Arabidopsis thaliana: one gene and its partner. The protein of the gene in region 1 purifies or fractionates together with the protein of each later gene. This does not show direct contact. Each region holds a gene or a part of one and is shown in the gene's direction. Other genes may lie near its edges.

Region 1 (16,327 bases):
GTGGAGTTGGTGGTCTCGGTAAGGCTGGTGGTATTGGTGTTGGTGGTGGTATCGGTGGTGGACACGGCGTGGTCGGTGGTGTGATCGATCCACATCCTTAATAGAGAGTATTTGTTGGTTAGGGTTTTAATTAAGGAATAATTAATTAGTTTCGATGTTATTGTTGGTCTTTTAATTCTGTGATCATTAGGGTGACTTTTGATCTATTTTCTAGTTTGGGCTTTTGTAACGTTTGCTTTGATTTCGGCCGTGGTGTTATGAAATGTGCGACTCTCTATGTTTGAATCGTTTTGGTTTAGGAGGTTCTCTTCTTCCATACTTTTGCATGTTCAAAGACAAATTTTTAATTAAGAGGAATTATCAAGGTTTCCGACGAGATATTTTTTGAAAATGAAATTGGTTTGAACTTGTAATGATATTTAAAATATGAAAACATCACTCAAAAATGGATGGAGTACAAACTTTTTCCACTATATATACATTACATGTAAAAAGTGTATAGATTTCGTTTTTGTTGCACTGTCTAACTCTAAATAAGTCGGATATCAAAGTTAGTATATAGTAAAAAAAAAAAAAAGTTAGTATATATATCCAAGTGGTAAAACCCGTAAAATTAACATATATATATATATATATATATATATATATATGAGTTTGGTCAAGGGTTTTGAAAGATCTCGACTAAGAGAAGACATATGAGTTTTGGTTCAAAAAGTCCTTCGATAATCATTAGAAACGAATTAATATATAGTAAAATTGAGTAAAAATGTTAATCTATTAACCAAAGGTTAACTATATAGAAGATTAATATATTATAAAACTAACCAAAACATTGGATATTGGTATATCCGGATTATTTTCCTCGTTGATGATCGCAATATTGCATTCAGCCATCTACTACACACTTCCTCGTTGATGATCACAATAATGCATTCAGCCATCTACTACACACTGACACATATGATTCGTAATTTCGTATGAAATGTTTGAACTCATACTTTTAATTTACATATTTAAGATGGACGTAACAATGAACATTTGTTCAGAACTTGAGATTGTACTACCCCTATAAATAACGCCTATTTACTAATTACTATGCATGGTTCATCATGGTTGGAAATTTCTTTGCAAATGATCTAGTGTATATTAATCCAAAATATATAGGAAAAATACATTAATTGTGGGAGGAAGACAGCAAGAATCCACAAAAAGGAAGCACTAATAAATGACGTAATAATTGCGTTGGGATGAGAGGGACACAAATTAAAGAAGATAGGATTTGCATGTCAAACACTTGTTGTCCCATTTCATGCATCGTCCTCTCTATTGTCTATTTCGCTGTCACAACCTCTAAATTTACATCTCATGCAATTTATTACGACGTATACATACACCCTTCAAATTTTTATTCGTTTGCATTTGTATATATATACATATATATTAGCTAGTAAAATTAATCACAATTTATAATTTTGTAATCATTAAAAATATTGTAGTAAAAAAAGCAAAACCCAAAAAAAATAGAAAAGAAAACTGAACTGGTTGGTGTTTGTGGTATTTTTTTTAATAATTTTGTTAAGGATTTGATATGGGTTTCAATTTTAATGGTGGACCGAATTGAAAATCATCGAGTGAAAATTGAGCTACTTACAAAGCCCAATTAGATCCAACGGGCCTCAAAATATCTTTTATATTCCATTTTTTTTAATTTGTTTTTGTTTAATAAATCAAAAATTGAAAAGCGAAAGGCAGAGAAAATTTCCAATATAGGCGAAATGTAAAGAGCGGGAAGCTAAAGCCTAGAGAGAGATTCTCACACTGCCAAAACAAAATTTCCCTGTAGAGAGAGAGAGAAAGAGTGAGTGATGGAGAAGAATGCGATGAAGTTACTCGAAGAGATCAAATCTTCTGATGTAAGCTTCTCTTTGATTTCCACCTTTGATTTGATTTTCTAGGTTTCTGTATATTTTTTCCAACTAAAATCTTCTGGTGGATTTTATCGCTTCCGGTAGTCATTTCTACGAATCCTCTCTGTTAAATCGAGAAATTTCTTCTGATTGCTTTGGGTTTTGTGATGTTTCTTATCAATTTCCCTTCCGATTAAGTTTCTGCAGCTTAATGTATATATAGAGTGATTAGGATTCAGTTGAGTTCTGTAGCTCATGGATCTAACGAGCTTCGTTTTCTTCATTGTTCGCTCAACAGCTTATCGAGAATCGGGCTCAATTACTCACGCGGCTCAGTCAGTTAGATGTTGAAGAGAATTCTGATTTGCCTTCTTTTGTGGAGAGCCTAACTGTATCCCCAGTCTTTTCATCAGTTTTGCTGATTTTCAATATCTTCAGTTATACTATGTTTAAAATTGAGATGTGGATATCCATTATGTGACGGTTGGATTCAGGATAATGAAGTGACGAACTTATATCTGCTTATTTGCATGTTTCACTTGGATTCATATATGCTTTAAGTGGTTTGTTTGTTTGTTTCCAAGTATTCCTTGACAGCTGTATAGACACTCTGGGAAGATTTCACATGTCTTGACGTTTCCCTGTGTTTGTTGAACAAGGCGATTCTGCCTGTGGCTTCAAAATACCTCGCTTTGGATCGGCCTGATTGCTCACACTACTTTCTTGCTTTTGCTATTAAGGTACAATGTTTTCATTTTTATTGCTTACTGCTCAACCTCAATTTTGGAGGGGTGTTGTATTATCTTTTCTTATTCCACTTCTTCTAGGTAAGCCAATGGTGTGCCAAACATTTAAACATGTCTGTTATGTCCATGGAGGAGTCTCAAGAGGAAGAGCATTCCAACATTTTCTTTCAGGTTATTTGATGCTTTTTGGTTCTGGAAGTAGGATTCTGTCGCAGCTTATGGTTTCGAAGGGACTGAGTTATTCAATCAATGTTATGCAGCTTCTTTTGGATTATCTTCGTTTTTCTGCCTCAAGCTTTACTGCTATTGGAAAAACTTGTTTCATGACTGATGATGCCTCAGCTGTTACAGTTCATAAGTTTGTTTCAGAGCAGCTCAATTTGACAAAGGAGTTGATAATGAATTCCAAGGTATCTTTGAAAATCATCTTTATCTTTCGCTAGTAACTACACGTACCATATCATGAAACATTTTTAACATTTGTTTTGTTGAAATTACTACTGTAGGTTGAGAATCAACTTGAGATTATTGTTTTGCCTTGTTGTCATCTGTTAATAACTTTCACCTTTCTATGAGACAGAAAGTCGAATCCTTTTCCTCGGAGATTTTTAAGGCTGTGCAAGTGGTAATTGATTCTACTGTTCGTCTGTGCAAAGAATACTCTCAAACAGTGAATCGTGAGGTAAGTGAAATGAAGACGAGTGGACATGTAGGAAAGGCAAGGATGGAGGAAGGCAACGCTGTGGGTAATTTGGTGAGCATGATTACGCTGGGAGTTAAATCTCTGAGTGAATTGGGTATGCTTGCTGCAAGAGATGGTGGAAATCTTGTGGCCATTCTTAATACATCTTGGAAGGGTGTGATTACATTGCTTCAACTAGACAAGCAGACATTGGTATCTAAGGTAGATGTAGGAGAAATTATCTTAAAGCTAATATCACTGATCAAGGACTCCCTGAGATTTGCTGCTGAGGCTTGGTCTTGCTCGGTGAAGGAAAACATATCTGCAACGGAAGCCAGAAGGGTCTTTCTTCCTGTGAAATTTTATCTTATCAATGCTGTTAAAGTTGTGGCGCTGTTTCCAAGCCAGGCGTCTATGGTGTCCAAGGATATAGCACTATGCATCTTGATGATCTCTGCTTTCAAAGTTTCACTGAGCCAACAAACTCATGGAAAATCCGCAAGTGAAGTAATGACTGATCTTCTGGAGAAAACAACTGTAGATCTTCTAGGTGCACTGTTAAATGCAGCTGAACTAACACAGGAATTCAGGCTCACACTTCTTGATTCATTGTTCGTTGATGAATTCTCAAACCAAATCTGTAAGAAGCAGAGCCATGATTCTCACACAAAAACATCATTGGTGGATATCTTGTCTTTATCTGTTGAATCTGCGACAAGTGCTAGAGATTTGCTCCTGGCCCGAGTTGTATTGTTCCAGTCTGTCATGAGGTATTCTTTCGAGCTTGACAAAGATGCAAAGCTTGCAATCACCACAAAGCTGCAATGGCTTCTCGACATATTAGCAGACAAAGAGGTTTACTCTTCAGTTCTTTCCTCTCAGCTACCAATGGCAGATGGTTCTGGGAAGATAGTAATCTGGGAATCAATGTATTCAGCTCTGCTTCTGTCTCTCAAAACCCTTATGATCATACTCTCTTCAACTCCTGCCTGGGAAGAGCTTGAAACATTCCTACTTCAGAATCTCTTGCATCCTCACTTCTTGTGTTGGCAGATAGTCATGGAACTCTGGTGCTTCTGGGTTCGTCATGCCACTGACGATTTGGTGGTCGATATGATTAATCAACTTTGTACATTCATTATGTCAATGCCATCATCAGAAACACCTCTTTGTCCAGATTCCGTTCTCAGAAGAACTACAAAGTCCATCTGCTTTCTTCTTACCCATAGCCCCAAATCTTTAACAGTTCAAGTTTACAAACATATTTCTACTGAGAGCAGATCTGACCATGCACCTGATGTATATCTAGCATTGCTGTTAGACGGGTTTCCACTGAATTTTCTTCCAGACAGAATAAAAAACGACGCAAAGAGACAGATATTTGCAGATTTCTTCAACTTCATCGAGAAATTCGATGAGAAACCGTCAAATTCCTCCAGATACACTCTGCTTGGAGCTCCAGTTTTCACAGTATCTGCTTGCCTTCGGATACTGTAAGTAATGATAATATATCTATTCTTGAGACTTCTCTGGGGATTTTATTACACGAGATAGCAAAAGTCAGATAATAGTAACTGAAAATAGTGTGAGCGAAAGGGTACATTTTCAATTTTTGTGTTGTGGATATTATTGACTGTTGTTGTTTTTCTTCCGTGTAGAAAGATGAGCATATCAGAGATTGATGCCAAAACTCTGAACTTTGTCGTCGCTCTCATTCAAAAGTACAGAAACTCCAAAGATGAAACGACGAAGGAACGTTACAGTGAGATTCTCAGCGAAACATTATCTATCATCTCAAGAAGCGAACAGCTATACACTTGCCAAGAGATGGATAATGTCATAACAGAGCTTCAAAAGCTATTCAATTCAGAAACTAATCATCATCATAATCATCTTCGTAAGTCCAAGCCAAACCTTGCTCTCTTCTTGTCAGGACTCAGCAAATACGAGATGTCTGAAACCAAAAAGTGTCCAAAGAGCATTGCGGTTTGGGAACTCTACCATATGCTTCTCAGGAAACGCCACTGGGCTTTGGTACACCACGCGGTTACTGCGTTTGGATACTTCTGTGCACGTACAAGCTGTAATCAGCTATGGAGATTCGTACCTGAAGACGCGGCTCTAGCCTTCGATATAGCTTCTGGAAAAGAAGCGAAAACAGAGCGGTTCATGTCGGAATTAAAGATGTTTTTGGAGAAAGAACAAGCGCTTCTTTCAATCACACCTTCAGAAGAAGAACTGGAGTTACTTTCGAAAGAAGGCACCGAGGTTAAGGCAACAGTGCAGAAGCTTCTAGAAGGAAGAAGCCAGAGGTCAATGGAAGTAGAGAAACGACCGAACAAGAAAAGGAAACTTCCAGAAGGAATTTGCAGAGGAATGGAGTTATTGCAGAATGGAGTGAAGAGGATTAACGAGGGTTTAAACGAATTGAGGTCAGATGAAAATGAGAGTGAAGAGTTTCAAAAGAGTTTATCGAATCAGTTTTCGTGTCTTGAAGATTTGGTCTCTCATTTGTTAAGCCTCACCGCAGCTTCGGACTAAAGTATCTTCAGTGGCTATCTATCACACACTGTTAAAAGACTTTTATGCTAACAGATGTTTGGGATTAAAGATGTTCTTTAAGAAAGAACAAAGCGCTTCTCTCAAATACACTTTCACAAGAGGAACTTGACAAACTTTCCTCTTATAACATGATAAAAAGTTGAAATAGTAGCGGATTTACCTCTTACCACCGAAATTTTTGAACAAACGAGGTTAAGTTGTCGACAACGGACTATAAGATTTTTGGGGCCAAAGGCTTAATTATTTTCTCAAGGTAACATTAAAATATTTTAAAAACATTATTGTAAAAATATTAATAAAATTGGGACTTCTTTGTAATATATTTTGCTTAATTTCATCAGAAAATGTGGGGCCAAAGCCCATGTTTTTTTGGACGATCAATTTCGCATAATCCATTAAGATTTAATATTATTATTTTATTTTTTTTGTCTGGGTCAAAACCACACTAAATTCTCATTTTACTGATTTGGATGTTTGTTTGGTCACATGACTTTTACACTGATTTCTTTGTTTGTTTGGTCAATAGTCAATGGGATAGTTACTATGTGAAGAAACCGTCGAGCCCTTGGAATACTATAAAATCAACTCCAAGAGCAACCTGAAAAGCCACATTCATAAATACAAACATCAAAATGGAAAAAGTTTCTATTGTTTGCTTCTTCTTCTTTCTTTTATTTGGTTCGGGTTATGGGGGCCTCCCACCGTTCTGGCGCGCTACGGTTGTCACGATGACAAACTTGATTGGCGGTCCACCTCTTACCATACATTGCAAATCCAAGCAAGACGATCTAGGAATTCACGTGGTGCCTTTCAAGCAAGAGTACCACTTCAAGTTTCAACCAAATCTTTGGAAATCAACATTGTTCTTTTGCAGTTTCCAATGGGACAGTCAATTCAAGTCGTTTGATATATATGATGCTCAGAGAGATCAAGGTATATGTGATGACTGTCAGTGGGAAATAAAACCTGATGGTCCATGCAGGCTCGGTAAAAAGGCGAAATGTTTTCCTTGGAAGTAAGTTTGTACTCCTGCGATGATGAAGATATATATATATATATATATATATATTCAAATTCAATAAAATCAATAAACAGAATATTTATGCATTTCTTACTATTTAAAGATTTGTTTCTTAAAGATACTCATTGACATCGGAATGCTTAGAGTAAGAAACAAACATATTTTGGTAGACACAAAACCGGAGTAAACCGAGAATTATTCGTTATCTTCACTGGTTTTCTCTCTTAAGGTTTGTTGTTGCATACTCTTCTCACTAAGGATGTCAAAATGGTTAACCCAATTCAACACAACTCATTACCAATGAGTTTAGGCTTCATGGGTTGACCCAACTCATTTTGTTAAATAGGAAAAGCAATTCAAACAGTTTGAGATATTTGATGCTTTCAGAGATCAAGATGTATGTTATCTATGTAATTGGACTGTCAAAGCTGATGGTGCTTGCAGGCTTGGTAAAGAGCATAAATGTTTTCCTTAGAAATACTTTCATATGACTGATTTTAATGAAAATTTGAGAATGAATAAGACAATATCAGAAATCCACATCACGTCAAAAAATAATAACATTTTTTGTAGACAATAAATCAAAACCGGATCAAACCGGATTATTCTTTATCTTGGGTGTCCAAAATGAGTGAAGGATCTTCCTTCCAGACAACATCATCATAAGAAAACGCTTTGGCTAAACAAGAAACCAACTGTTCATGAATCACTTCTTCTGAAGGAAGCAGAGTATCCGTCTCTCTTCGCAAAGATGTAACTTCTTTATCAGCAATCCCACAAGGCACAATGTGCTCAAAGTACTTCATATCAGGATCTATATTTAAGGCCAAACCATGACTAGTGATTCCAGAAGATATCCTAACCCCAATAGCACCGATCTTCCTATCCCCAACCCAAACCCCAGTCTCACATTTGTTTCCTGCTCGAGCTTTCACGCCATAAATCGAAGCAAACTCGATCATTGACCGCTCCAATGTCTCCACGTAGTTCCTAGCACCAAAACCAATGCTGCGTAAGGAAATGATGGGATATAAGATGGCTTGATGAGGGCCATGGAAGGTGATGTCTCCTCCTCTTTGAGTATAATGAAGTTCAGCTCCGATTTTTGTAAGTTCAGATTCAGGGATAAGTAGATTGTGATCGGTTCTACGCTTTCCGAGCGTATAAGTTGGTGGATGCTGAAGCGAGAGGAGGGTATCTGGAATCTGATGAGCTTTTCTCTCTGAAACTAATTTCTCCTGCAGTTTAAGGGATTTCAAATAGTTGACAGTGCCTAGCTTCCAAACCTCCAAGGTTCTAGGGGATCTCATTTCCTGCACATTAACACAGACTCCATAATTGATCACTTTATCTCTAACTACTTAGGTTATATAGGAAGATTCCAAACACGACCTTTTTTTCCACACAAACTTAATACTACTGATGGGGGTCTAAAAGCATGACTAACACAACAAAAAATTTCCAAAGGCAGCAAACCTAAAATTAGGAATAAAAATCTGAGGAGCTAGGATACAAACCCTATGAATAGTTTTTGGTACCAGGTCTTTGAGGTATTTTATCGAACACTTAACATGCATACACAAAGAAAAAGACACGGAGGATTACCGTAACCGATAAAAACCCATATAAATGATCGTATACATGGTACAAGAGCAAGTAATCGGTAAAGTAAGAGGCTTTGAAGAGCTAGATTACCGTTTCAGTTCTTCTCCTCCACCGAAGAGTTTGGACCTCAGAGATAGGTTCTCTCCAGATTAGAAATTTTGGATTTATTAAAAGCTTCAAAATTCAACGACTTTGCACTTGTACCCTTAAGTTTTCAATTTTCACAGAATTACGCCTTATCTAGAACATATCTCAACAATTCACACCCTCTTATTTTAATTCCAACATATAAAAACCCAGTGATTCAAATCGCAAACAATCTTTTCAGGGAATGATGCTGTTTCTTATCCCTTTGTATTTCAGAATTAAGAAAAATACAAAGATTGTACAATTTCAAAACTTAGGGGTCAAATTCGAAGGAAAAAAGGTCTAGAAAAGTTTCAGTTTTCCAATAGTTTGATCTTCTCAAGAGAAGTATTCATCTGCCTAATCTCCTCTTCAGACAAGCTTTTGCTACACTGCTCAAACTTCTCCTTGTCGCACTTCAAGGCTGTGTCTCTACACGCTCTGATGCAACCGCTAATATCGAGCAAGTTTAAGATCACCGGACAGTTTCCGATGCTTTTGACCAATGTGATTGCTAACCAAACTTGTCTGTGTTCTTCTCTTGATGATCTTACAATGCATAGCTTCGTGATTGGATTCACATATTTCACTTGGAAGGAACCGAGAGACGAACCTAGACCACACTCGCCGAAATTGACGAGGATACTGTCTTTGATTGCTTTCGAGAGATTGAATTGTGTAAGAATGATCGGTGTTCCTTCTCCGAGAAGATCCTTGTCCGGATCCAGAAAAACTTCCATTAACATGTATCTGTTCTTAAATCCCACCATGCTTCTTCGAATCTCCTCGATTTGATGATACCAAGTCGGCGGCTAAAGATATTCTGAACATGTAGTTAGGGCATTTTATATGTAAGAAGAAGAAGAAGATAATCACGTGACTCCACGTGACTTGCTTACTTATGGACTTGGGTCTTTGAACATATCTGAAATGGGCTTAGTTATAGCCCATTTCATCTCATACGACTCCGTGATTTGCTAACTAATGGGCTTAGTTATATGGTCCTAGCCTAGTTAATCTCCAACGTTCCCTTCGTTGTTCATCGGAATCCCTAGAACACTCGATTTCAGCAAAATCAAATCGGATTCAGTGATCAAAAGTCAATTTGGTCGAGAAGAAATTGAGCGTTGAAGATGACGGAGGCGATGATAAGAAATAAGCCAGGAATGGCGAGTGTGAAGGATATGCCGCTGCTTCAGGATGGTCCGCCACCGGGTGGGTTCGCACCGGTCCGATATGCCCGCCGGATATCCAATACGGGTCCTAGTGCAATGGCCATGTTCCTTGCCGTTTCTGGTGCCTTTGCTTGGGGAATGTACCAGGTCGGCCAGGGAAACAAAATCCGCAGGTAAGAACGACTTGTAATAGCTCGTTCACATTTCAATTTTTCCTCTAAAATTCGAGATCGCCTTGGTAAAATTAGTGTTGTGGAGTGATTGATGACCATAGTAATGTAGTGAAGGATACATTTTGGTTAATAATTGTTGAAACTTGAGTATGTTTATCGTAGGAATTGGTTAATATTATTAACCTATGGAAACATAGGCTTGTTGAATCACTGTTATGTATTCTGTTATTAGTATTCCCCGACATTTTGGTTGAAGCTTAATCAGCATGAGTTTAGCCTTAAACGAATATAAAGTTCGTCAACAATTTGTAAACTCTTAAAGCCACAATTGCAAAGATGTGAGAATCTGTTATGATGAAAGCAATTATCTAGTTGCATGTTTTGATAGTAGTTATCGGGATACTGTTTCTATGTAGATAGATTGTTTTAGTATTATATCTGGCTTGATCATTAACTTCTTATGCATTTACAATGGTCCTAAACAAGTCTGATTTGATATCAGTAAGTATCAAGATTAATGCTCTTATCAAGATTGATGTGATGTTTAGGGCATTGAAGGAAGAGAAATATGCTGCTCGTAGAACAATACTTCCCATTCTTCAAGCAGAAGAAGATGAAAGGTAAACCATATTCTCAAATTTAAGTCAATGTGCCTGCAGCAACCTTCAGATAGCAATCTTGTTTCAATCCCCGTTTTGCATTCTAGGTTTGTGTCTGAGTGGAAAAAGTATCTGGAATATGAGGCTGATGTAATGAAAGATGTTCCGGGATGGAAAGTTGGCGAGAATGTGTACAATTCTGGTCGCTGGATGCCTCCGGCTACTGGGGAACTCCGTCCTGATGTGTGGTGATTTCCTAGTTTCTCTCAAATGCATATGATGATGATGAATGATGTTTCGCTGAGGATTGATATGTTCTTGTTATATCTTTTTTTCTTCGGGTAATAAGAGAATGATTCAACAGACAGTATTCTTCTTGTATTGGTTTTCTCTTAAGTGTTTCAATCGTAATATGAGGCAAAAACAGTTTCATGATTCATCAGCAAGCTGCAAGAAATTGGCTTATTTGACAGCTCCAGGTGAAAAATATTCGAAAAAGCTTACCGAGTGAAATCGAACCAAATCATATATAATTATATGTGAATTTAATATCCAAAACAATAAAATTTTGAAAACAAGAGTTCTTGAAAATGAAAAAAAGAGTAAAACCTTTTCAGAAAATAAATAAAATTAAATGCTAAATATAGTACATGAAAATGAGAAAAATATGTTAGATTTGTGAAATCGTTAATGACCATGGTTAAATGGCGGGATCCAAAATCCGGTTAGATTTCACAACGTCATATTAATTTAGTATTTATAAAATCTTTTAAAAAAAAGAAAAAGGAAAAAAAAAGAGAGTTGAAAACATTTTTAAAAAAATAAAATAAAAATAATTAAATGCTAAATATACATGAAGATGTGAAAAACATGTTGGATTTGTGGAATCGCTAATGACCACGGTTAAATGGCGGGATCCAAAATCTGGTTAGATTTCACAACGTTATATTAATTTAGTATTTATTAAAACTTTTAAAAAAATCAAAAAAAATTTGAAAAACTTTTAAGAAAAGAAAACAAAAAATAAATGCTAAATATACATGAAGATGTGAAAAATATGTTGGATTTATGGAATCGCTAATGACCACGGTTAAATGGCGGGATCAAAAATCCGGTTAGATTTCACAACGTCATATTAATTTAGTATTTATAAAAAACCTTTAAAAAATTATTTATTTAAATGTTTTAGTGAAAGTTTTAGTTTTGGTTAAAATAATTTTTAAAGAAAAGAAGAAAAAAAGTTAGAATGAAGAAAGTCCTAGTGTAACGAAGGCCTCATACAGCAAAGCCCATTCCAAAGTCCTAGTGTAGCTCTGTCGTAACATTATCCACCAATTTTAGGTCAATTTTGTAAAACTAAACTACAAGATCATTCCATGGGAAGCTTCTCTCCGATATGCAAGACAAGACGCCAAAGAATGGCAAGATGCAGAAGAGTACACCCACCGTTTATCATCAAAACCTGACAGAGTAACGTCACAAGAACCAACAGCTAATCTCTGGACAACACCCCCTATTGGTTGGACGAAATGCAACTATGACGGCACTTACCACAGCAACGCTCCGAGTAAAGCGGGTTGGCTCTTACGGGATGATCGAGGAACCTTTCTAGGTGCAGCTCATGCTATAGGCTCTATTACTACCAATCCGATGGAAAGTGAACTCCAAGCTTTAGTCATGGCCATGCAACATTGTTGGAGTAGGGGCTATAGGAAAATTTACTTTGAAGGTGACAATAAAGAAGTCTCAGAGATTGTCAATGGTCGGTCTTCAAATTTTGCAGTTTTTAATTGGATAAGAGATATAAGCGCTTGGAGATCAAAATTTGAAGAATGCAAGTTTACTTGGACAAGGCGATTTTCAAACATGGCTGCAGATGCTCTGGCAAAACAACAACTTCCTTTGAACACTCAGTTTTATTGCTATAACTATATCCCGTTTGTAATAACTGATTTTTTACATCGCGACTTTGCTACAGCAAATTATTAATAAAGCTGATGTTTGAGGAAAAAAAAAAAAACTACAAGATCAAACCCTAGTTCCTCCGATGAAATTGCGGTTAGAAAACTAAATATTGATTGACCTAATTCAAAGAGACCTTTTTTGTGCAGAAACTAAATATTAAAAATCCAAGGTTCCAAGAGATCAAATAGGAATTTAAGCGAGAAGCAACATACCTGAGTCTCGTGACAACGGCGCGTGGTTTGCGTCAATACTTGGGACTCTCGGTGAGATCCGCCATGATTTGCTAGAGAGATCGTGAAACGCAAGAAAACAGAGAGACAAACGGTGGCGAGATCATTGATGGTGTGATCACCGAGTTACAGTTCCGACGGTTCTGACGGTGGTGAAAATGGATGGTGATCATCGAGCTTTGACGTTCTCGTGATCGGTGAGTTCTTTTTGTAAGAGAGGAACAGAAACAAACAGAGGCTAAAAAGACAAAAGAAGAAGAAGAAGGTGGATTTTTTGTTTTCTTCTCGTAATCCATGCTTTGGACCTTGTATCAGCCACTTATGATCATTTGCTATATTGATGCTTTCCAATTTTAGAGTATTGAAATGGGTTTCTTTGACAATCATTTTGAGTTAGTCATCATTCCTTGTTCTGAATCAAGAATTGGCTTTTGTTATGTTGTCTAGGTTCTGCTTGTAACTAGAGTAATGCTATTGTAGTCTCTGTTGTTTATTTGTAGAATCATAGAGAGTCGTGGAAGCATGTTTTAGTTGTTACTCTCGATTTCTTGTCGATGTTGTGGTGTTATAAATTGAGCGTTTTAACCAATACAAGTTAGGAGATGGTTAGTATGTGACTATGTGTTAGTGGCCATGTATGTAGTTCGATCAGATAATCTGAATGATGTGCTAAAGAGCTTGCATAGGAAGACTGCCTTTGTGTTAGCTTGCATAGAGACTTGTTGCAATATATGAGACTGAAAACTATTATGTGAAAACTTTAATTTGTGTACAAATATTTTTAACTCTTAAAATTAAACTAACATTGTACCAATTAGCACATGAAAGAAACACAGAATTCTGTGAACATATGATGAATAACTATATAAACACATTATGGATTCAGTTAAGGAGACAGAAACAAGAAGATGAATTTCAGATATATAGCAATAGAGTCACTTATAATCATATCAGAGCTTATACTTTATACAAATTATCACTTTAGTCCTTAAATTAAAACCGATTTAATCGACAATCTTGTTATTCTTTAAAACAATTTGTTCTTATTTTCAATCTTTAAATTTTGCAACAATCGACAGAACTTATCGTTATTCCGTGTTTTTATTTTCATATCTTTCTTAAAATGTTTCAAAATAATATATGTTTAATATTTTCTGATTTACAATAGTTATTAAGTTATATGAAATATAATTATTTTAAATTTTATTTTATTTTTCAGAAAACTCTTATAAGAGAGCTTACCATTAGAATATGAAAAAAAATTAAAACTCTCTTATAACTTTTTAAAAATTTTAATAATAAAAAAATGGAGAAAGCCCGTGAAAGAGCTCTTACGAACCAAAACCATTCAGTCCGGTTAAGAATTGGTTATCAAGTTTGGTTCCTAAAAGATATCCAAGTTCAAAAGCAAAAAAATATCTTCTTTTCTCTCTCTCTACTCTCTTCTCTTCTTCTCTTCTTCTCTTCTTCTCTGGCTGGGCAACCATGATTACTGTCGTCACCTCCAGGCTCTCTCTCCTTCCTCCAGTCTTCTCCGTCGTTAACTCTTCTTCTTCGCGTTCCAAAGGTGCTCAATTTATTTCTGCCACGTCTTCTCTTTATAGCACTCTGTTTTACACACGTCGTTGATTCTTCAGTTTTTTAAAAGACCCGTCTTATACAAAATTTCAGTGTAACCGATCCCTGAAATTCGTTAAAGGGATGAAATTTTATCTAAGATTCGGAGTTTTCTTTTCGAACATAGTGGTAATGTTTGTCGAATGCTTGATTTGGTCTTCCACAGCTGTCACTATCGAGTTTGAAGATAGAAATCTTGTGTTAACTTAGTATGTATTACTGCATAATGTCAATTCTGTTTGAAAGCATCAGAATTTCGGAACAGATTTTTGTTTCGTATAGCATCGATCTTTGTCTTGTGTGTTTTTATCTTCTCTCTGAAGCCTGCATGAACCCTTCTCTTATGGCTTTAATTGCAGATATGAATCTAGAGCCAAAAAAGAAGGTTAAATTAAGAGAAGACTGGAGAGAAAAGTCCAGACCTATCCCACCCGGAGGAACCTATCCAGCTAAAGACCATTGCAGGTTTTTTCTTTCTTTTTTGTTTGTTTGTTTGTTTACCTCACTATTTTTGTCTCATTCTTATCAAGATCCTTGGTGTTCTGATGGGTTTGCAGTCAGTGCGGGCTATGCGACACCTACTACATTGCCCATGTGAAGGAGGCATGTGCATTTCTTGGAGATGGAATGTCAAGGATTGAGGTAATGTCCATATAAATGGATAAGATTTGATACTCTTTTTAATTGATGGGCTAAGATTCTTATTTTGTTAATATTTTAAGTTCTTGTGCAGAGCTTGGAACCTGTTGTGCATGGTAGAGGAAGGAAAGCAGATTCCTTACAAGATACATATTTTGGGGTGCATCAAGAGCAGCTCTATGCTCGTAAGTTGAAGCCTGTCGAAGGTAAATAGACACTTCCCTTCCACTGTTCCACATTTTCTACTAACTTCTTTTCCTGGCTCAATCTAAGCTAGGGCACTTTTGTGTCTCGTTCAAGATGAATTTAGCTTAGCTTTGTTGTTTACTTTTCATTCTATTTTCGGTTGCAGGAGCTCAGTGGACTGGAATTGTCACAACCATAGCCATTGAGATGCTGAAATCTAATATGGTTGAAGCTGTCGTTTGTGTGCAGAGGTAAAACTACTGTTGAATTTCAGAAATGGACTAGGCTTACATTTATCGACCATGCTGTAGATTTTTCCATCTATCCATGTAACTGATTTATTGAAATATTACAGTGATCCTGAAGACAGATTATCTCCAAGACCAGTATTAGCCAGGTTTTCCACCTTCCTAATGTGGTTTATTTTGAGTCCATTCTTCTTCAAGTCGCCATTTTTTAGATGTGGATCCATATTTTGCTGTTACTCTGGATATAGAAGCGTATTGATGTTTCATTTCTTTTCATTCTAAGGACACCTGAAGAAGTTTTGGCTGCAAGAGGTGTCAAGCCAACTCTGTCTCCTAATCTGAATACTCTTGAATTAATCGAGGTTATTTGCCAAACCCTTATTTCTTGTTTGTGTTTTCAATCACTGAATCCATTTCACATGAACTTAGAATTTGTATTGTAACAGGCTTCCGGAGTGAAGCGTCTTCTGTTTTGCGGTGTGGGTTGCCAAGTGCAAGGTATGGGCTCAACATACTTTTTTGTGGACGTATATTTCAAGTTTCTCCATATCGTGACTCTCATAGTATTGTAATGCAGAGTGATTTCTTATACTGCAGCATTGAGATCAGTGGAGCAGCATCTGAATCTGGAAAAGTTGTATGTACTAGGCACCAATTGTGGTATTTTCCTCATCCTATCTAGATTTGTTTTTTCTCCAGAACTTTCACAACTAGTTCTTGTGTTGTACTTTTGAACATTCCATGTTGTATATGTTATTTCGGAGTCTTGTATGCTTAGGTCTAGAAATGCTTATACATTTTTAAACAAGTAAAAAGAACATCTTTGATTAATAGTGGACAACGGAA
Region 2 (17,294 bases), on another chromosome or scaffold:
TCTCTAGGCTTGGTTCTTGTGATTATGATAAGTTCCATGGTTTAGGGTTTATCTCTGGTCATATAATTTGTGAGAGTATCAGTTTCTCCACAATTGAGTTTTAATATTAATGTACCTTTCTATTATGTTTGTTGTACCTTTATATATTTCTCCCGTCTCGTATTAGTCCTTGTTTGTGTTTAATTATGAATTTATGATCATGGTAATGCGTACTGGTAGTATTCACATAGCTCATACAAAACTTCTCCATATGATTAATTCTTGGGTCGATAATGATATTCGTTGAAAAATCATCATCATCATCATCTTAGTTTTTACAATTCTTTTGAGGATTGGACCTTCTTTATTGCGAATTATAATTATTATTTTTTTCTCTTGTTATTCCGGTTCTAATAAGTTTTGTTGGAGTATTGGAACTCGTCGTCTATGTAATACTATCATTACGAAGAACACTCTTTACACAAAGCTACTAAGAACTCGCATATATCATAGAATACATCAATTTATGCACTTTTGGCCATACACAAAATTTCATCATAGCTACTAAGAACTCGCATATATGATAGAAGACATCAATTTCTGCACTTTTGCCTATACATAAAATTTTATCGTATGATGTGTTGAAAAACCAGTATCACCTTTTATTTTGGTAGATCTCCCTCATCAAAATCAAGACAAACATAAATAAGTGTATTGATATGATGAATGTTGACGTTAGCATTGGTCCATTACATGAACATCTGGCCTACCGACCAATGTTTATTTATGTGATTTTTTCACGTTTTGTTCACTTGCCAAATAGACAAAAAGGTCAAGTGATTCTTGCAAAACCGCGTTTGTTGACTTAAAACAATAATCACATGGAGAATTCATCAATATTTTATCTAACCATAGAATTTTTTTATTTATTTTGATTAAAATACCGCTTTGTATACCATGGTCCATAATAGTCCCAGAAATTACCCTGTTTTGGACACACAAAATTCTAACTGAGACAATATCATGCAAAATTTCAAAGTGAAACTCATTTCACTTTATTTCCTCCTAACTTATCGTATTCGTACGTCTATATAGATGTTTCACACAACCGCTACAACGGTCGGACGGCCTATTCCAGCACCAAAAAGACCATAATTCAACATAGAAACCCTCTGCTTTGCCACCGGAAACATATTCTCCTCAGTTTCGGATACTGGCGACACAGATTTTCTCTCACAAGTTCCAAACCATTTAGCCTGCATGTATTTGTGTTTTCTCCAAGGACCCATGTGCATCTTCTTGTCTTTCATACACTTCTTCGCTGCGGTGCACAATATCTTTATTAATGATTTTAGCCTCTCCGTTTTCCCGACATACACTTCCGGTAACATTCCGATGAGTCGCTTGTACTCTTCACTGCCTCTCGCCATCTCAAACTCCGCCCTAAAACATAGTTCGATCACCACCCGGATCTCGCCTTTCTTTGAAACCGATTTGTCCACGACCTCCAAGTATTCATGCTCACCTAAATTTGATAAGTAAACGTCATGGTTAATTCAAATTGTTAATTATAGTTAATGACAACTTGTTTTAGGGGCGAAAACGTTCAAGATATATTTATTCTATTTATTTATATAGAATATATAGATAATTCCGTTGATGTGGTTTCTTAATTAGTAATGTTATTGATAAAGATACGTGAAAGTTTCAAAACATGTCTAAATTCATACGGAATCTTCATAAACAATACTAATCCATAAAAGAATCACAAATCACCTTCCATAATTAGGAAAATAAGAATACTAGGAATTTAAAGATAAGAGTAAAATTGGGTTTGATTTATTACCTGCAGGGATCTCATGAGAGCTTCTCCACTTAGATTTGGAAATGACGCAATCATAGCCAGCTTCTCGGAGGAGGCTAGATACTTCGCCGCGTAAACAGCTACGACAACCGTCGGTAACCGGTCTCCGGCAGACACATACCAAACCCTTTGATCTAACTACTTTCAACGCTTCCTTAGTTGCTTGTCTTATCTTTGTCTCAATTGAACTTGTCCTATACAGTGTCGCCTACACATTTCAAGATTTGGTCCAAAAAGAAAATTAACTTATAAGACCCCACAAAGAAAACAAAGAGAATAATAGTTTCTTTAGAGTTAAAAATAAAAATATACCTGGAGAAGTTGTTCGTGTTCTTGCCAAAATTTTCTGTTCTCTTCTGAATTACAATCGGTGGTATCGTTGTCAACTTCGGATTCGTCGCCGGCGGCGAAGTTATAATCCTCCGGTGAGTGGTTTCCTTCGTCGAGGAAGCCAAAAAGAACATCGTCGGAGCTAGCCATGCCGTCGAGAAATTTCATGATGTCATCGGAACTTTGCCGATCCATTTCTTGAAGCAGGCGAGAGAGAGAGAGAGAGAGATGGAAAATGTTTTTTGTTTTTTTCTCTCTTAATTATTTTTTGTTTCGATGAAGAAAATAGAAATAAGTGGAAGGGATATATATAGTCAGAAAAATTGAAGGCTTAAGTAAGACCCGGATAAGGGGTTAGGGACCCGCCTGAGAGGTGGGAGAAAAAACAGATACAAGGCGCCGCGAAAGAGTGCTTCGATGCTCTGTTTTGAGTTTGGAAGAAGATGACGTGTCAGTATATGATTGGGAACTAAGTCGGATCTGATGGCTAAAGACAGCTAGATCTTATGTCAGCTTGTCCCAACTTCGGACCACAGATTCGGATATACTCGATGCTTTTTTTTTAACAAATAATTAGTATGTACTATAATCCATTTTTAACAATTAGATTTATCTCTATACTATTTTCTTAATTCTTAATTTGAAATAAGATTATCTGAAAACTAGATAAAGCGTGTATAGTTTAGATTAACGAAACAATTAGAGCCACTAAATAAACCTTTTTTGAACCATTTTTAGTAAAAAAATTAATTCTCGTTTGTCTAGTGGTATGGTTGCTCTAAGATAAAGGAGAACTTGGGATCAACCAATCAACCGAGACAGTAAACTAGCTTTTATTTTCGTTGTCATTATCTTAAGGCAAGGTTTATGGAGCTTTTAGTTGTATTTTTGTTTTCATTATCACAAATCAATTGTATCAAATTTTGTTAATCATGTCACATATCCTTTTTGGATGCATTATTAGCAAGCTTACAAACTACTTTTTACAATATCCATCACAAAAAATTTAAATGAAACTCAAGGACGGTATATACCATTTAAGAAACAAGTTCTCATATTTTTCTTGATGATTTAACCGGTTTCATGCAAAAAAAAAAATGTTTATGTTCCTTGACATAGAATTTATTTTGTATGGTTGAATCGATCGTCCACAGGATTAAGAAACTTTTTCTGTTGCTTGTTTTTATTTAATTTTCGTTAAAGAAGATGCGTATTGATCATGAAAAAAGGTATATAATAATATGATTAATCATGAAAAGCACTTGCGACTCGCTAGAATCGTCCTGATCTTGGATACTAGGACCCACGTGCCAATAATTAGACGCGGACAAAGACATCTACGTGGAAGATAGCCATACACGTGTCTCTTTTGTCCTAAACGCCTTATCCCGGCTCGTGCGTACTCGGGGACTCCTTGTCCTGCCACCAAAACAACTATTGGATCGGAGGAAATTAGCTGAAAGTTAGAACTTATTTTAAGAAAATATGCCGGAAAATATGATCTTCCTTATTTCAATTGATTCGATCTGATTATATTTTGAAAAAAAATTGCTCTAATATAAATATTAACGGTATCAGTTTATCGGTTTGTTAAAAAAATATAATCAGTTTTCAGATACCAAAAATTACAACAAAATGAAATGGTATACATACTTTTAGTTTTAGTTTGGTAAGAAGGATTGGCAAATGTGGTTATAGAATTATATCACATTTTCGATATATATTCAGATGTCTATCAAACCATGGACACATGCATGGGTTTTATATCACTTTTACAGTTCTACAAATTAAATAGATGTTTTCTCGATCGCCCATATGAAAAGTTGATCGGATCTTAAATATAATCAGAAAAGAGTAGGAAAAAATAAAATAAAATGAAAGGATTCGGTTTAGTAGAATATTCCGCATTTTCTCCACGAAGGATTTTGGAGACTGGGAATATTCTGGAGTAAGGGTCACATGGTGGCAGCATGTGGACCAGATCATCATTGAGATGAGGTAAATACTAAACAGTTACACCATTTTGTTAGTCACTAACAGAAAGAAATTGTAAAATGTGCAAAAAATGCAATAATGCCATTGCATGCATATTATGTTTAGTAGATACGTTGGTACATCGAATAGTGATTAGGTCATTCTAAGGAAACTTGAAACTTTTGATACTGTACTTGTTATACTATTTGGTTAACAAAAACGAAATAAAATTAAGATTTGAAATTTAAATGATTTATTTCAGAAATCGACGTTTGGTAATTAGTATGAGAGTCAAATAAATTTGTGTGTAATTAAATTAGGTCAGTGCTGTTCAAAGCTGTCCATGTACCCATATATGTTTGTGGCAAGGATATGCTATTATAATGTTCTTGATCTTTTTTTTAAAAAATGTTCTTGATACATCAATTACAAACTAAATTAGTGCCTTAGTGGAGTGCATATTGGACACGTTAACTAACCAATCTGATATATAATGCTCATCTTTCGCGCTAATATACACTACAGAATTTTGATGGCAATGGAAAATATATACTACAAAAAAAATTAAAGTTTCAACTAATTTATTTACATAAATTAAAGTTTATCAATTAACGGACAGAAGAAAACAAAAATTATTTGAAAAAAAAGTTTAAAACTGAATTAAATAGAGTTTGTTGTTGTAGACAACAACAACAACAAAAAAAAAAAAAAAACTTGTTGTAGACAACAATACCATCAATTATTTTTCTTTCTCTACGACAGTTACAATAGTGAAAACCCATCTTTAATTGCAGGAGATTTGTTTTTTTTAGAAGACGGACTCATTCGACAAGTTTCCATACGTTTGTATATATAATTATACACATGATTTTCCCAGTATAAGATATGTTAAACTCTGTTCAGCTATATTTTATATCACCCTTTTCGCCTTTAATTATTGTTGTATATATCTTAAAAACTTTTAGGCTAACTGCTGAGTCATATTCAACTTACTCCAACAGATTTGGTTAAATATCATGCTGCTAATCGGTATATTTCTCTAATTCAAATGTATGATCAATTATATTGTGACAGTCATCAGTTATATTATTAGAGAGGGCTAGAGCCTGGCTAGAAGAGCATCCGAAGAGTCAAAAAGAAAGAAATGTTAATGGAAAGATTAGTTATAATCTTACTATTTTTAACATGTATATGTTTTTTTTTTTTGATAAAAGACAAGCAGTTGAAATTGAATAATACATAAACGTTAATTTATCAAAACTTTTGAAAAGGATCGTTCTGATTACAGATATGTTAGAACACTTGACCAAATTAAGATACTACAATTTCTTGTATTGATCAATTGTGATTTTGACAAGAAAATTGAAATGATAGGGTCTTTAGAAGCTTTGGGGATAGCAAAGGAAAATTATAAACAAACACCACATTTCGCCTAGGAATAGCAGAGAATTCCACATTATTTATGTAGTTTTTAAACATTTAGTTCTTGAATTTAAGAGCTTTATTCAGGAAGAAGAGTGGGATAAGAAGGAATCAATATGGAATACTTTTTTTTCATAAATTCGTTTGTCTCCCAGCATTTAGACTGATGGGATATTCCCATCCTAAAAATAAGAATCTAAAACATTGTATCCTAAATATCTATCTGTAGACACTTTATTGTGTTTTTATAAAGCAACAATAATCAAATCAAAGTTCACAATCAATCTAATGTCCAAGCAAAAACAATTAAAGTGCTACTAAAGTTCCATTTCTTAATGATCTACAAAGTGTTGTTTATCTAATAAATTAAGGCAATTTGCATTCATCATATAAATTAAATACAACTTTTCAGTGTAATATATATGGACCTCACTATCAAACACTTATGAAATATTGGAATGTTGTGTAAAAGTGTAAAAATCAAATCTTAAATAAAGATAACTACTATCAATATGACAACAATTTGTGACAGTACAAAATTTAAACTAAACTATAATTTCCATTTTAAAAAAAAAATTGAGACGGCCAAAAAGGGCCAATTAAAAAGAAGGCAAACGTGATATTAATTAGTTACTGAATAATTAACTGCCATTGAGGCCAAAACCATGTGCTATGAAAGCTGTTTATCAGCGAATTATAACATTTTGTGTAAAAGAAAGACCAAGTCTACACAATTTTTAAAACATTTCAGTCCAGTAAAGTTAATCATCAGTTCATCACTCCAAATTTTATAACTTATATACGCATTTGCTTGAATAATTCTGCCATACAATATAATTTTATGTGATTTGATAAATATATATCTAATTAAATTAACGTGAGCTTAGCAGAGAGAGTATTATGTGCTAAGCTAAAACCGGTTTATACTGTTCAAAACATCAAATATTGAGACAAGCTCATATAGTCACTATACATGCCCACATGCATTAACCACTCAGTCAGACGAGTTATATATGGTTGTCTTTTGAAACAAACAAAACAAACTTTTACAATTCATAGTTGTGCGTTATTATCGGAACACAATTATTTGGAAAACAAAAATTATGAACTCATGAAGCTAAATGGGACTGAACTTTAGGCCTACTTCATATTTTACGATAAGGATGATGACGACGACTTCGTGGCTAAAAAATAGCAATTAGGATATGGGTCGTGATCAAAAATCCCACCAAACTAAAAATATATCAAACTAAATCAAGTACCTACTACATGCATGATTATCTCTTTAACCTAACCTTAATTAAAGTTAGTTTAGATATTGACAAGAAACTGTTTAAAATGCTTTGCTAAGAAAGTGGGAACACAAGATTTGAGAGTATTTTTGTTAAAGTCACAACATTTTAACCTTAAATTACACTTGCAACTTGAGACGATACTTAATCACTTTTTAAGTTAATTTAATCATAAGCAGACAAAAACATGCCTTTCAACTCTCAAGTAGTGGTGTTAGCCGGAATCCAATTCGTCTAGAGTAAAGAATGAAGATACAATTATAATTGTTTAACTTACCTCATCTATATAACAAGATTATCATTTCTCATTCCAGCTATTAAATTAAACCCTCTTTTTTCACAACTGGTATATCAATTTTGTGATTAATCTAGTTACCATTCATACAACTAGCTTTGCCTATACATAACATTCACATGAGTTTAGTGGATTTTACAACTTAAATTTCCCCCATTTTTTTTTTTTAAGTAGGATCGAATAAGAGTTAAATGCATGTATTTGTGAAACACGAAACAAAAGGGTCACTAAAAATTTGCACCAGCCGGGAATCGAACCCGGGTCTGTACCGTGGCAGGGTACTATTCTACCACTAGACCACTGGTGCTTCTTGTGAATTATTAAGACAAGTTAGTTTATAATCTAAATACAAGTTATCACTGGGCCTTAAATGACGCTACAGCTGAGCGACTTAAGGCCCAAATATTACTACGTGAGTACGTGACCTATATATGTCAAAAATACGTGAAGCTTAGATGGGCCACTTAAGGCCCAAATAAATACGTGAAGCAGAGCTTATGTGATTATTTCCTCTCTCAGGTCAGGAGTTGTTGTAGACACAGCAGCTTGGTCTCTTTCATTGGCACAAAGAGAGAAAATCTGAAATTGAGAGAGACAGAGAAAAATGGCGTCGCTTCTGAAAGCATTCATCGATCCAAAGAAGAACTTCCTCGCTCGTATGCATATGAAAGCCATATCTACTCGCCTTCGCAGATACGGTCAGATCTCTCTCGATCCATAACCCTAATTTCTGAAATCCGAGTTTGTTGTCAATGTTCATGAGTGAATCTGAATCTGCTTTGTTTTGTTTGGTTTGAATGATTAATTAGGTCTGAGGTACGATGATCTGTACGATCAGTATTACAGTATGGACATCAAAGAGGCTATGAACAGATTGCCCAGGGAGGTCGTTGATGCTCGTAACCAGCGTCTCAAGCGTGCCATGGACCTCTCCATGAAGCACGAGTACCTCCCCAAGGATCTTCAGGTATAATTCTTCATTCTCTATTTCTTTGGATGAAATTGATGTTGTTAGAATCAATCTAGAATATGGATAGGTAACCCAGGCATTTGAGCTCGAATATTGATTAAATGCTAGAAAAATGAAGAAATTAAGATATCAAATTGAAATCGAAACTAGTTCATCAGAAGATATTACTTTACTTTGGGGATTTTGTGATTGTGGAGCTTAGATGTATATAAACTAGTTTATGCATAGTCTATGCTTGTCTCTTGCGTTACTGTGTTTGTTCTGCTGTTGCTTGAGATTATTGGAAATTTTGGATTGATGAAAGGTTGAATCCTTGTTACATCTTTTTTTTTCCCTTTCAATAAAGTAAAGTGGTGTTTGCATGTATACTATTGTATTACTCTATGGTTTAGACTTTTCGATTTTTGTTACTTTCTTATTTGATGTTGTTATTAGATAAGAATGTAACTGTTATTATTGCTGGCTTAATTAAGCTATCAAAAGTTCACAACTTTAAAAGTATAAGGCTCTTTTAGTTTTCCAAAATTGATTAAGCTATCAGAAATTGCAACTGTTAGGTAGTGTTGTGGATATTGTAACTTTCTTATTTGATGTGGTTATTTCATATACAGGCGGTGCAGACCCCATTCCGTGGCTATCTTCAGGACATGCTTGCTCTTGTAAGTCTCCTTTTTGATGAACTAACATAGAAATCATTATCTGCGTCTAGGGTAGGAACAATCAAACTGCAATTCAGTGTCATAAAAGCGTACTATTCCTTCTTGAAGTAAAGTTTCCTCTTTCTTTTGGGCCTATCTGCTTCCCTGCATTGACAATGATGAAAACTTTGATGAGATGCATGTCTTTTCCTTCGTTATTTGAAGCAATATGTTTTTTTCAGATCTTCAATTTCCCTATTTCATGAAGTATTGCATCATAAAGAAAATGTTTGCAATGTTTGAAAAGTTCTGAGTGTAACTTTTCTGTAAGGATAGCCCATCATCGTTGTCATCATCCCTGTCTTTATGTTGTGATTTGCAGGTTGAGAGGGAAAGCAAGGAACGAGAGGCCTTGGGAGCTCTACCACTATACCAGCGCACACTCCCATAAGCATTCCTTTCCCCTTTTCTTGTGGTCAACGCTGCTTCTCTGCATAAATCTGCAACATTGATATTTTGGTGCTCACTTTCTGAACAGAGCTATTTACTATTTGAAAAAGCATAAATCTGTGATAGTTTTCCTAAGTGGATATGTTGCTAGTTACATTTTTATCGCTTTTGCTGGCTTGAATAAAATCGACGACGCAACTCAAGTCTGTCTCGATGATTTATCATTTTCGAGGTCTGGTTTGCTCTTTTATTCTTATAATTGGTCTCTCAGAATCGTTTAAGTTTTATGCATTGAAATGTAGAAGTGCCATGATTCCATATTCTTGGGAATTTGGTCGAGCCATGTTGATGTATCCTTTGCATTGACAGTTTCATGTGAGAAATTAATGGGAGAGAATTATGAGTTTATTAGGCACCGATAAAGCCAGTCGTTGAACTGTCCAAGTCTATGGTATGGGACTATGGGTGTGTGTTTTCTTTTTGTCTCTTAGTTCACTGAGTTAAAAAGATAGGAAGGAATCATCCGTACTATTATTATATGATCGGCCTTGGCAACCGAAAATTCTTACGTTGAGTTCAAACATAATCGACGAATACACAAAAAATCTACTTGTGGAGGAGATAAACCGGCAAGTGTAAGAAGATGGAAAGAGATCCTTTGGGCATATCGGGGAAATGAAACTTGGATTTCAAAAACTAACTTATTATAACTTATCGGACAGGGTGTAAAATCATTCATTCATAAGATAGAGAGACCCATGTTATGTATATAAATATTTCATATCCAGAAAAGAGCATTTGCATGTGAGTGTGTAGACTGAAACTCAAGCCTTTAATAGATTCAGGCCAGATCTATTCTTTTAGTTACCCATCTTCCTCTCTGTCCCCTCTCTCTCTCATCCTTTTCTTTTGCTCACTTTCGTTTAGCCAACCACAAATGTTAGAAATATGGATTTGAATTTAGAGATGAGATGGTAACAAGAAGATTAGATGAGTTAAGACTCGACACAAATTCAAGTATATTCCCTAAAATGATGTTTTTGGTTCGACTTCTAGGCTAGTTTTGAGGGCTTTACAAACCATCATATGAAACTATGAACATTGTGGCAACCAAATGGAGAATCAATAGATAAACTACGAAAGTAAGAAGATGTGTTGTAGACAAAAACATGCGATCTTGAATGGTCCATGGAAGTAAAAATTAAGGTTGTACACAAGGTGGATACTCATTACTGACAGAGACAGATGTGACATATAAAAAGGGTCAGTCTTAGTTTCATATTATTGGTTTTAAGATTGGTGTATGTTTTGGATATTTACTTTTTTTTTTGGGGGGCTGTCTTTTGTTTTTGCTAAGAAAGTTATAATGAAGGTTTAGGTGTTACAATAAGACCTAGAGTAAGTGTTCCTTGGCAAAAAAGAATAAAAAAAACAAGGAATCATTTGGATTCTACACAATCTCAGAGAAAAGAAATAAAGATTAGGATTCTTTAGCTGAGCCAAAGTGACATAAGATTCTTGAACTTCTTTCGCTTCCGCCTAACAGTAATGGAGTTTTTGATAAGCCGGTCTACTTCCTTGAAGATTGTAAGCGGCATCACTACGATGTTGTTATGGATGAGGTTGTTCCTTTGTCGCCAAACACTGTAAACCAGGGCATGGACAAGCAGCAATCGAAGGGTCTGCGGAGAAGCACGATTCTTTACCCTAGCTAGACCAAAGTATTAGATCCTGCCATTCACCAAAGACTTGTGGGGACAAGTGCAGACGTTGCAAGGCAAGAGTCCATATCGTTCTCGCAAAGGAGCAGTGGAGAAAAAGATGATCGCGTGTCTCCTCCATTCATACACAAAGGCAGCAGTCAGTGTTAATCTGCATTCCCCAAGACGCAAGTCTTGATCTTTTTGGGGCTGTCTTGTCCTTTTCTTCTATGTCTTCTCCGTTATTTCGCTCCCATGCAAACAATTTCTTATCATCACTCTTTTTCTATCAACATTCTCTCTACTCTTTCCTGAGTAAACTATTTACAATTTTCTTTCTTTTTGTTACCATATAAATAAATTTCCCATACAAGTAAATTAATTAGTTCTGAATAACAGATGTGAGATTGTAATTTATAACAATTGGCTCTCAAACTTGATAGGTAGTTAAATAATTGTAGTATAATAAATAGTTGATGTTTTAAACATATATAAAAATAATCTAAAACAACTATGATGTATATGACATTGCCGTTGCCCGTTGGCACCACAAGTCAAGGTTGTGATTTCATAAGTTACATTAAATAGTTTGGCTACAGATTTGAATTCTACTAAACTAAACATTAGTAATTTTGCAAATCAAGAAAGACGATATATAGTCAAATGTCGTTTAGTGGTCCACTTTCCCATGCATGTATGGCTAAATCTTTTTAATAGTAATGTGGATCCAGGGTTAACATCAAGCCAAAGTTACATGGCTGTGTGGCCCCGGTTTTATGGCCGAAAATCATAAATTTAGGTTTAACCACCAAGTCAAAACACACAGAGTTATACGTCCATCTTCATACAATTAAAATCTTTTAACTGAACCTAACTTTATTCAGACTACTTAACTCATACATGACACCTATAAACATTTTGTGTTTACTAATATTTTTCCTTTTCCAAATTTTATCCAAAAAAACAATTAATTTCTTCTTAGTATTTTAGACCACTTTCATTCTAGATATACTGGTAGTGGTGACATGCATGGGAGAATTGACCACTTGGCCATTAACTCTAGACACACATATTAGACATGGAAGCTGCTTAATGGAACATTTTAGATACAATTGTCAAAACAAAAAATAACATATTAGCAACAATTGCATGTTAGAGATAAATAATGCATTATTTGATACACAATTTATACTTATACAATGCATGTGTATGTATTTATAAGCACACGCAATATGTTTTTTAGTACAATAATTTGTGCAATAAAAGCACCGCTAAGAGAGTCGGTGGCATTTGCAGTGATCCATCAATTCTGACGCTGCAGAGACAAAATTCGATTATTCTTTAAATTTTAAATATCATATATTGCTCTACATTAAATTATATATGTTCATGGATCAGATTTACGATTGACGACGAGCGAAGGATAACAATCCTTTACAAAGTATTTTATTGTCTATTTATGTTTAATTTTCTCATACTCTCCTTTTTTCCATACAATTTGACATAGTCTTCTATAGAAATTAATTTTGACACTCGAGAAAATTTTCTGTAATTGATACATGCATTTATTCACATTATGCTAAAAGTCCGACCACATTTATATCTAAGACTATAAGTATACTATAATGTAAAAAAGCCAATTATGTTTCATCGTTTAATTTATATAGTAATGGTTGGTTAGTTATTTTATTGTAATATTTCAAAAAAGTCCCAATATGCTTAGATAGTTTGTGATTATGTTGGTCATGTTCATCTATGGTTTTTTTAGTTTGGTTTAAGAATATCGATGATTATTTCCCGACAAAGGTGCAGACTAAATCTAAGAAAGCACATGATGATAAAAGTTGGAAAAAGACTAGTTAAATTAATTTAGATCGAAGTCGGACCATTATTTGTTTAAACTTTAAACTATTGAAGTAAACAAAGAGTCCGCATGGTTTTATAATTTATACTTCACACTTGGGATTGTTGGGGCATGTGTGATGCGTTTAACGATTCTAACAGTATATGAAATTATATTTTTTGGTCTTGTTATTTGTCTAAAAACCTATATTTTTCTCGTAAGAATATTGTAAGAGTTATTTTTCGAAAATTTAAATAATGATTCGATCAACACTTTTTCTCATTTTATCAAACCCCTTTGATTGAATAGACCGCTAAAACAATTTGCTTGATTGGTCTTTCTTACAACGACTAAGTTACAAATGTGACTGAAAGTTACCGATCAAACCCATGAAAAAAACTTGAGCCCATATACCTTGCTATGGATTTGGCACACAGACCAAGCTTTCGAAGCAACTGTTTGGTTGATTCGGAATTGTTTTCTGATAATAAATAATATTTATATTATTCGTTATGTGTTTGTGATAGGATAACTCGGAACATAAGCAACTTTAACTTGTGGCGATGCGAGAACCAATGTGAAATAGGCATGTGAGAGACCACATTGTCCCACAGCTTTTGTCCTCTTCACCCCCGCAATTATATTACCATTAATTAATCACATAGTTATCGTTTTCCAAATCGTAATATACATATCGTAGTTGTTCATCTTTAATCTATTTTCGGTAATCTAACAAAAAGAAAGATATCTCGTAGTGAAAATACGAATATCAGTGCTTTTTATGCAACAATTATGACATTAGGTATCGTTACTCAAAGTTAAATGAATACAATCTAGACGACGCTTAAAAAACGAATAGATGATGGAATCACGACTTAACACTAGAATTACCATGGAATATAGGCAATTTGCGAATTTATTCAACCAAACCAAAAATCGACAGTGTTATTTAGTCAAACCTTCTAAGAAAAAGTGACCCATTTCCAAGGAACGATGAATAAAAAAACCGGACCAATGTTGTTCCGACATAAGTCACTAGTGGCAAAGTCATAATTTAGACAAAGGAAAGGGGCCTTTCTTGCACAATTTTGCATATAAGAGCTCTCTCTCCTCCTCGTTCTATTCCACTCCCACTAAACATTCCTTCTCTCGCTCACTCTTCTCCAATCCTTATTTTATTTTTTGAAAGTTTAAAATTTTATACAACATATCAATTTGGGGTAGAAAAATTCGAAAGAAATGAAAGAGATGGGAGTGATAGTGCTTCTTCTCCTTCACTCGTTCTTCTACGTTGCCTTTTGCTTCAATGATGGTAAATCCCTCGTTCTTTATCTTTTCCGTAGAAATCTCGCATTTTCGTATCTTGTCTATATACTAGCCAAACCAACAAAAGAAACTCGTAGTGAGTTCCAACAATATTCTAGTATTTAAGAAATTCGTGTTATAAAAATTTGTACAGCTTCTTATAACTTGTGTGTCCAAAATTTTGTTTGTCGTCAAAATAATTCATTTATATTGCACCACAAATCATGAAGAATGACCTATTAGCTTGACGAACATGTTGAACACTACGCCGAGACAGATCTGTAAATGCACATGGTGTTTAGTCAATCGTTTTCAATAAATGTGTCACTAAATTACCCTCACCTTCCCATCTGTAACTAACCTTTTTAATCATTTAAATATTTCATACTTCCAACTTTTTATTCAATTATTATACACTGATCACTTGTTTATTCATATACAGATCTAAAATAGCAAGATTGAGAATTTGTTTACCTAGAATCACTGTCAATTTTAGGTGACTAGATGCAGTTGAAGTTCAAATATTATTGTCAGCAAATCACTATCGTTTAAATCAAATTTCACAACAAATCCCTAACTAGTTTTGTTTTTGTAACTTGATTACATTAACAAAACAAAACAGGACTACTACCAAACGGTGACTTCGAACTCGGTCCACGACATTCGGACATGAAAGGAACACAAGTTATCAACATAACAGCAATCCCAAACTGGGAACTCTCAGGCTTTGTCGAGTACATTCCCTCAGGACACAAACAAGGCGACATGATCCTTGTCGTGCCTAAAGGCGCATTCGCAGTACGTCTAGGCAACGAAGCCTCAATCAAACAAAAAATCAGCGTTAAGAAAGGGTCGTACTATTCGATAACGTTCAGTGCTGCTCGAACATGCGCACAAGACGAGCGGTTAAACGTTTCCGTGGCTCCTCACCATGCAGTGATGCCGATACAAACAGTGTATAGTAGCTCAGGTTGGGATTTGTATTCGTGGGCTTTTAAGGCCCAAAGTGACTATGCAGATATAGTGATACATAATCCAGGTGTTGAGGAAGATCCTGCTTGTGGACCTCTCATTGATGGTGTTGCTATGCGAGCCCTTTTCCCTCCTCGTCCCACCAATAGTGAGTGCTCTTTTCTTATACTTAATTTGGGGTCTCGTTTGAATAAAAATATTCTTAATGGGGCAAATACGGAAATATCTAAAACATGTTGGGTTTATTTTTGTTTTGCAGAGAACATTCTAAAGAACGGAGGATTCGAAGAAGGTCCTTGGGTTTTACCAAACATATCATCTGGTGTTTTGATTCCACCAAACTCCATCGACGATCACTCTCCGTTACCTGGTTGGATGGTCGAGTCTCTTAAAGCTGTCAAATACATAGATTCCGATCATTTCTCCGTTCCTCAAGGCCGTCGCGCCGTCGAACTCGTCGCCGGGAAAGAAAGCGCCGTCGCACAAGTTGTCCGCACTATCCCTGGAAAAACCTACGTCCTATCCTTCTCTGTCGGAGATGCTAGCAACGCTTGCGCCGGATCAATGATCGTCGAAGCTTTCGCCGGAAAAGACACGATCAAGGTCCCGTATGAATCGAAAGGGAAAGGAGGATTCAAGCGATCGTCATTGAGATTCGTCGCTGTCTCGAGTCGGACTAGAGTTATGTTCTACAGTACGTTTTACGCGATGAGAAACGACGATTTCTCGAGCTTATGTGGACCGGTGATCGACGACGTTAAGCTTCTCAGTGCTCGGAGGCCGTGAGCTTGCGGCGACGAGTTGATTCACGGGACAATGAATGATGACAGTCACTGTGGGTTTCTCGCGTCTAGTGAGAAATTGGGCTTTTAGGCCCAGTGGCCCACTGTTTTTGTTGTTGTTTTAAAGCTTAATGTTATTTGACAAAGAAAAAAGAAATTACTCTGGTCAATCATATCGAACCGTGAAATTTTATGATCTTGTGATTTAAGAATGTTTCTTCCTCACTGAGTGGACAAATACAAAACATCCTGCAAAAAAAAATGAACACTAAAACCATGTTTCCATTGTAATCCTTAAATGTGTGTTTGCTCCTCCTCTCTGTGTGGAAAGACGTTACCAATACTCTCTACAGGAGCAAACACCATCTTTCATATGGTGAAACCTCTTTGCATCTCGCGAAATCAACTCTCTCCCAACTATCTTTGACATCAACTTCAATGCGTTATGGCAATCTGCGCATACACGTAGATTTTTCATTACTCGTATTAACGAACGCGCAGGAGTGTCAAGAAATGTCGAGATGAAAGCGAATCTCTCATTATGATTGAAAAGGTTTTCGTCTTTGCTCTCTTGGTCCACGTCGTGCAATGCAAGTTTAGATAGAGGTACATAACCAATTTCTATCATATGCTCCTTTAAACTCTTCAATGCCATATACAACTCTCTGTTTTCTGGACGAGAAATATCTCCAGCTGCCATATATCGAATCCCATAATTTGGCCCTTTGGCCATTCTTTGTAATTTCTCTTTTACTAGGTCTGATGATTTCACAGGTACAAGACCCGCCTTTGACTCTTTGTTCAGTCTACTTGCATCAAGCTGCTCAACCATATCTTGACACCGGTCGCCAAGAATTAAATCCCCATGAACCCGTGATAGATTCATCAGGGTTTCCCACAAATCTACATTTGGTTCCATCGATTCAACAAATCTCAAGGCTTCATCTAAATAACCAGGCTCCGCCAACATTTTAACGAGGCTCACGTAATGTTCCATACAAGGGATAATTCCATACTCTTTGTACATGGACTCAAAGTGCAACAGTCCCTCGTTCATGTCACCAAGAACACCACACGCAAAGAAGATCTCTTTAAACATTTCACCATCAGGTTTGTTTCCTTCTTGTTTAAACCGAGAGAACGTATCAATGGCGTCTTCCCCTTGCCCATTCTTTGCAAAACACCTTATAACACCACACCAAGTCTCCAAGTTTCTCTCAGGCATACTATTGAAAACGGTTAATGCATCTTCCACAGAACCACAACCAGAGTACATTTCGATTATCGAGTTGTAAGCGCTGATATCTGAAATCCCAACCGAAGAAGTAATAAACTCATGAACAACTTTGGCTTCTTGTAAAGCTTGTGCATCTCCACAAAGCTGTGCTATCCAAAACAGTCTAGGTAAATCCACAACATAACCCTCATTTCTCCATGATTTAATAATTTCAACAGCTTTTTTAACCTTCCCTTCTCTG

Evidence for each region.
Region 2: the proteins of MEE4 (region 1) and AT4G32470 fractionate together in Arabidopsis thaliana (co-fractionation; one large-scale study listed by BioGRID). This does not show direct contact.

What each region holds. Positions count from the first base shown.
Region 1 is NC_003070.9:1,284,442-1,300,768, reverse strand, and holds MEE4 (GRIM-19 protein), read left to right. Parts: upstream 1-9,656; 5' UTR 9,657-9,782; coding exon 9,783-9,997; intron 9,998-10,545; coding exon 10,546-10,617; intron 10,618-10,703; coding exon 10,704-10,848; 3' UTR 10,849-10,948; downstream 10,949-16,327. Other genes in the region: AT1G04660 (glycine-rich protein), read left to right, coding at 1-101; AT1G04650 (holliday junction resolvase), read left to right, coding at 1,866-1,913, 2,206-2,298, 2,513-2,647, 2,735-2,824, 2,914-3,063, 3,234-4,828, 4,994-5,876; AT1G04645 (Plant self-incompatibility protein S1 family), read left to right, coding at 6,530-6,916; LIP2 (lipoyltransferase 2), read right to left, coding at 7,521-8,228; EMB1687 (ribonuclease P family protein / Rpp14 family protein), read right to left, coding at 8,964-9,419; AT1G04625 (Polynucleotidyl transferase, ribonuclease H-like superfamily protein), read left to right, coding at 10,949-11,075, 11,981-12,537, 12,849-12,938; HCAR (coenzyme F420 hydrogenase family / dehydrogenase, beta subunit family), read left to right, coding at 14,277-14,358, 14,768-14,873, 14,966-15,050, 15,142-15,253, 15,400-15,484, 15,589-15,630, 15,765-15,843, 15,928-15,979 and 2 more.
Region 2 is NC_003075.7:15,661,562-15,678,855, reverse strand, and holds AT4G32470 (Cytochrome bd ubiquinol oxidase, 14kDa subunit), read left to right. Parts: upstream 1-7,606; 5' UTR 7,607-7,760; coding exon 7,761-7,854; intron 7,855-7,965; coding exon 7,966-8,123; intron 8,124-8,737; coding exon 8,738-8,785; intron 8,786-8,835; coding exon of another isoform or gene 8,836-8,836; intron 8,837-9,146; coding exon 9,147-9,215; 3' UTR 9,216-9,637; downstream 9,638-17,294. Other genes in the region: ENODL4 (early nodulin-like protein 4), read left to right, coding at 1-45; AT4G32480 (sugar phosphate exchanger, putative (DUF506)), read right to left, coding at 1,080-1,504, 1,826-2,051, 2,156-2,368; AT4G32460 (choice-of-anchor C domain protein, putative (Protein of unknown function, DUF642)), read left to right, coding at 13,997-14,069, 14,685-15,182, 15,294-15,820; MEF8S (Pentatricopeptide repeat (PPR) superfamily protein), read right to left, coding at 16,151-17,294. UniProt on the Arabidopsis thaliana protein: Component of the ubiquinol-cytochrome c oxidoreductase, a multisubunit transmembrane complex that is part of the mitochondrial electron transport chain which drives oxidative phosphorylation.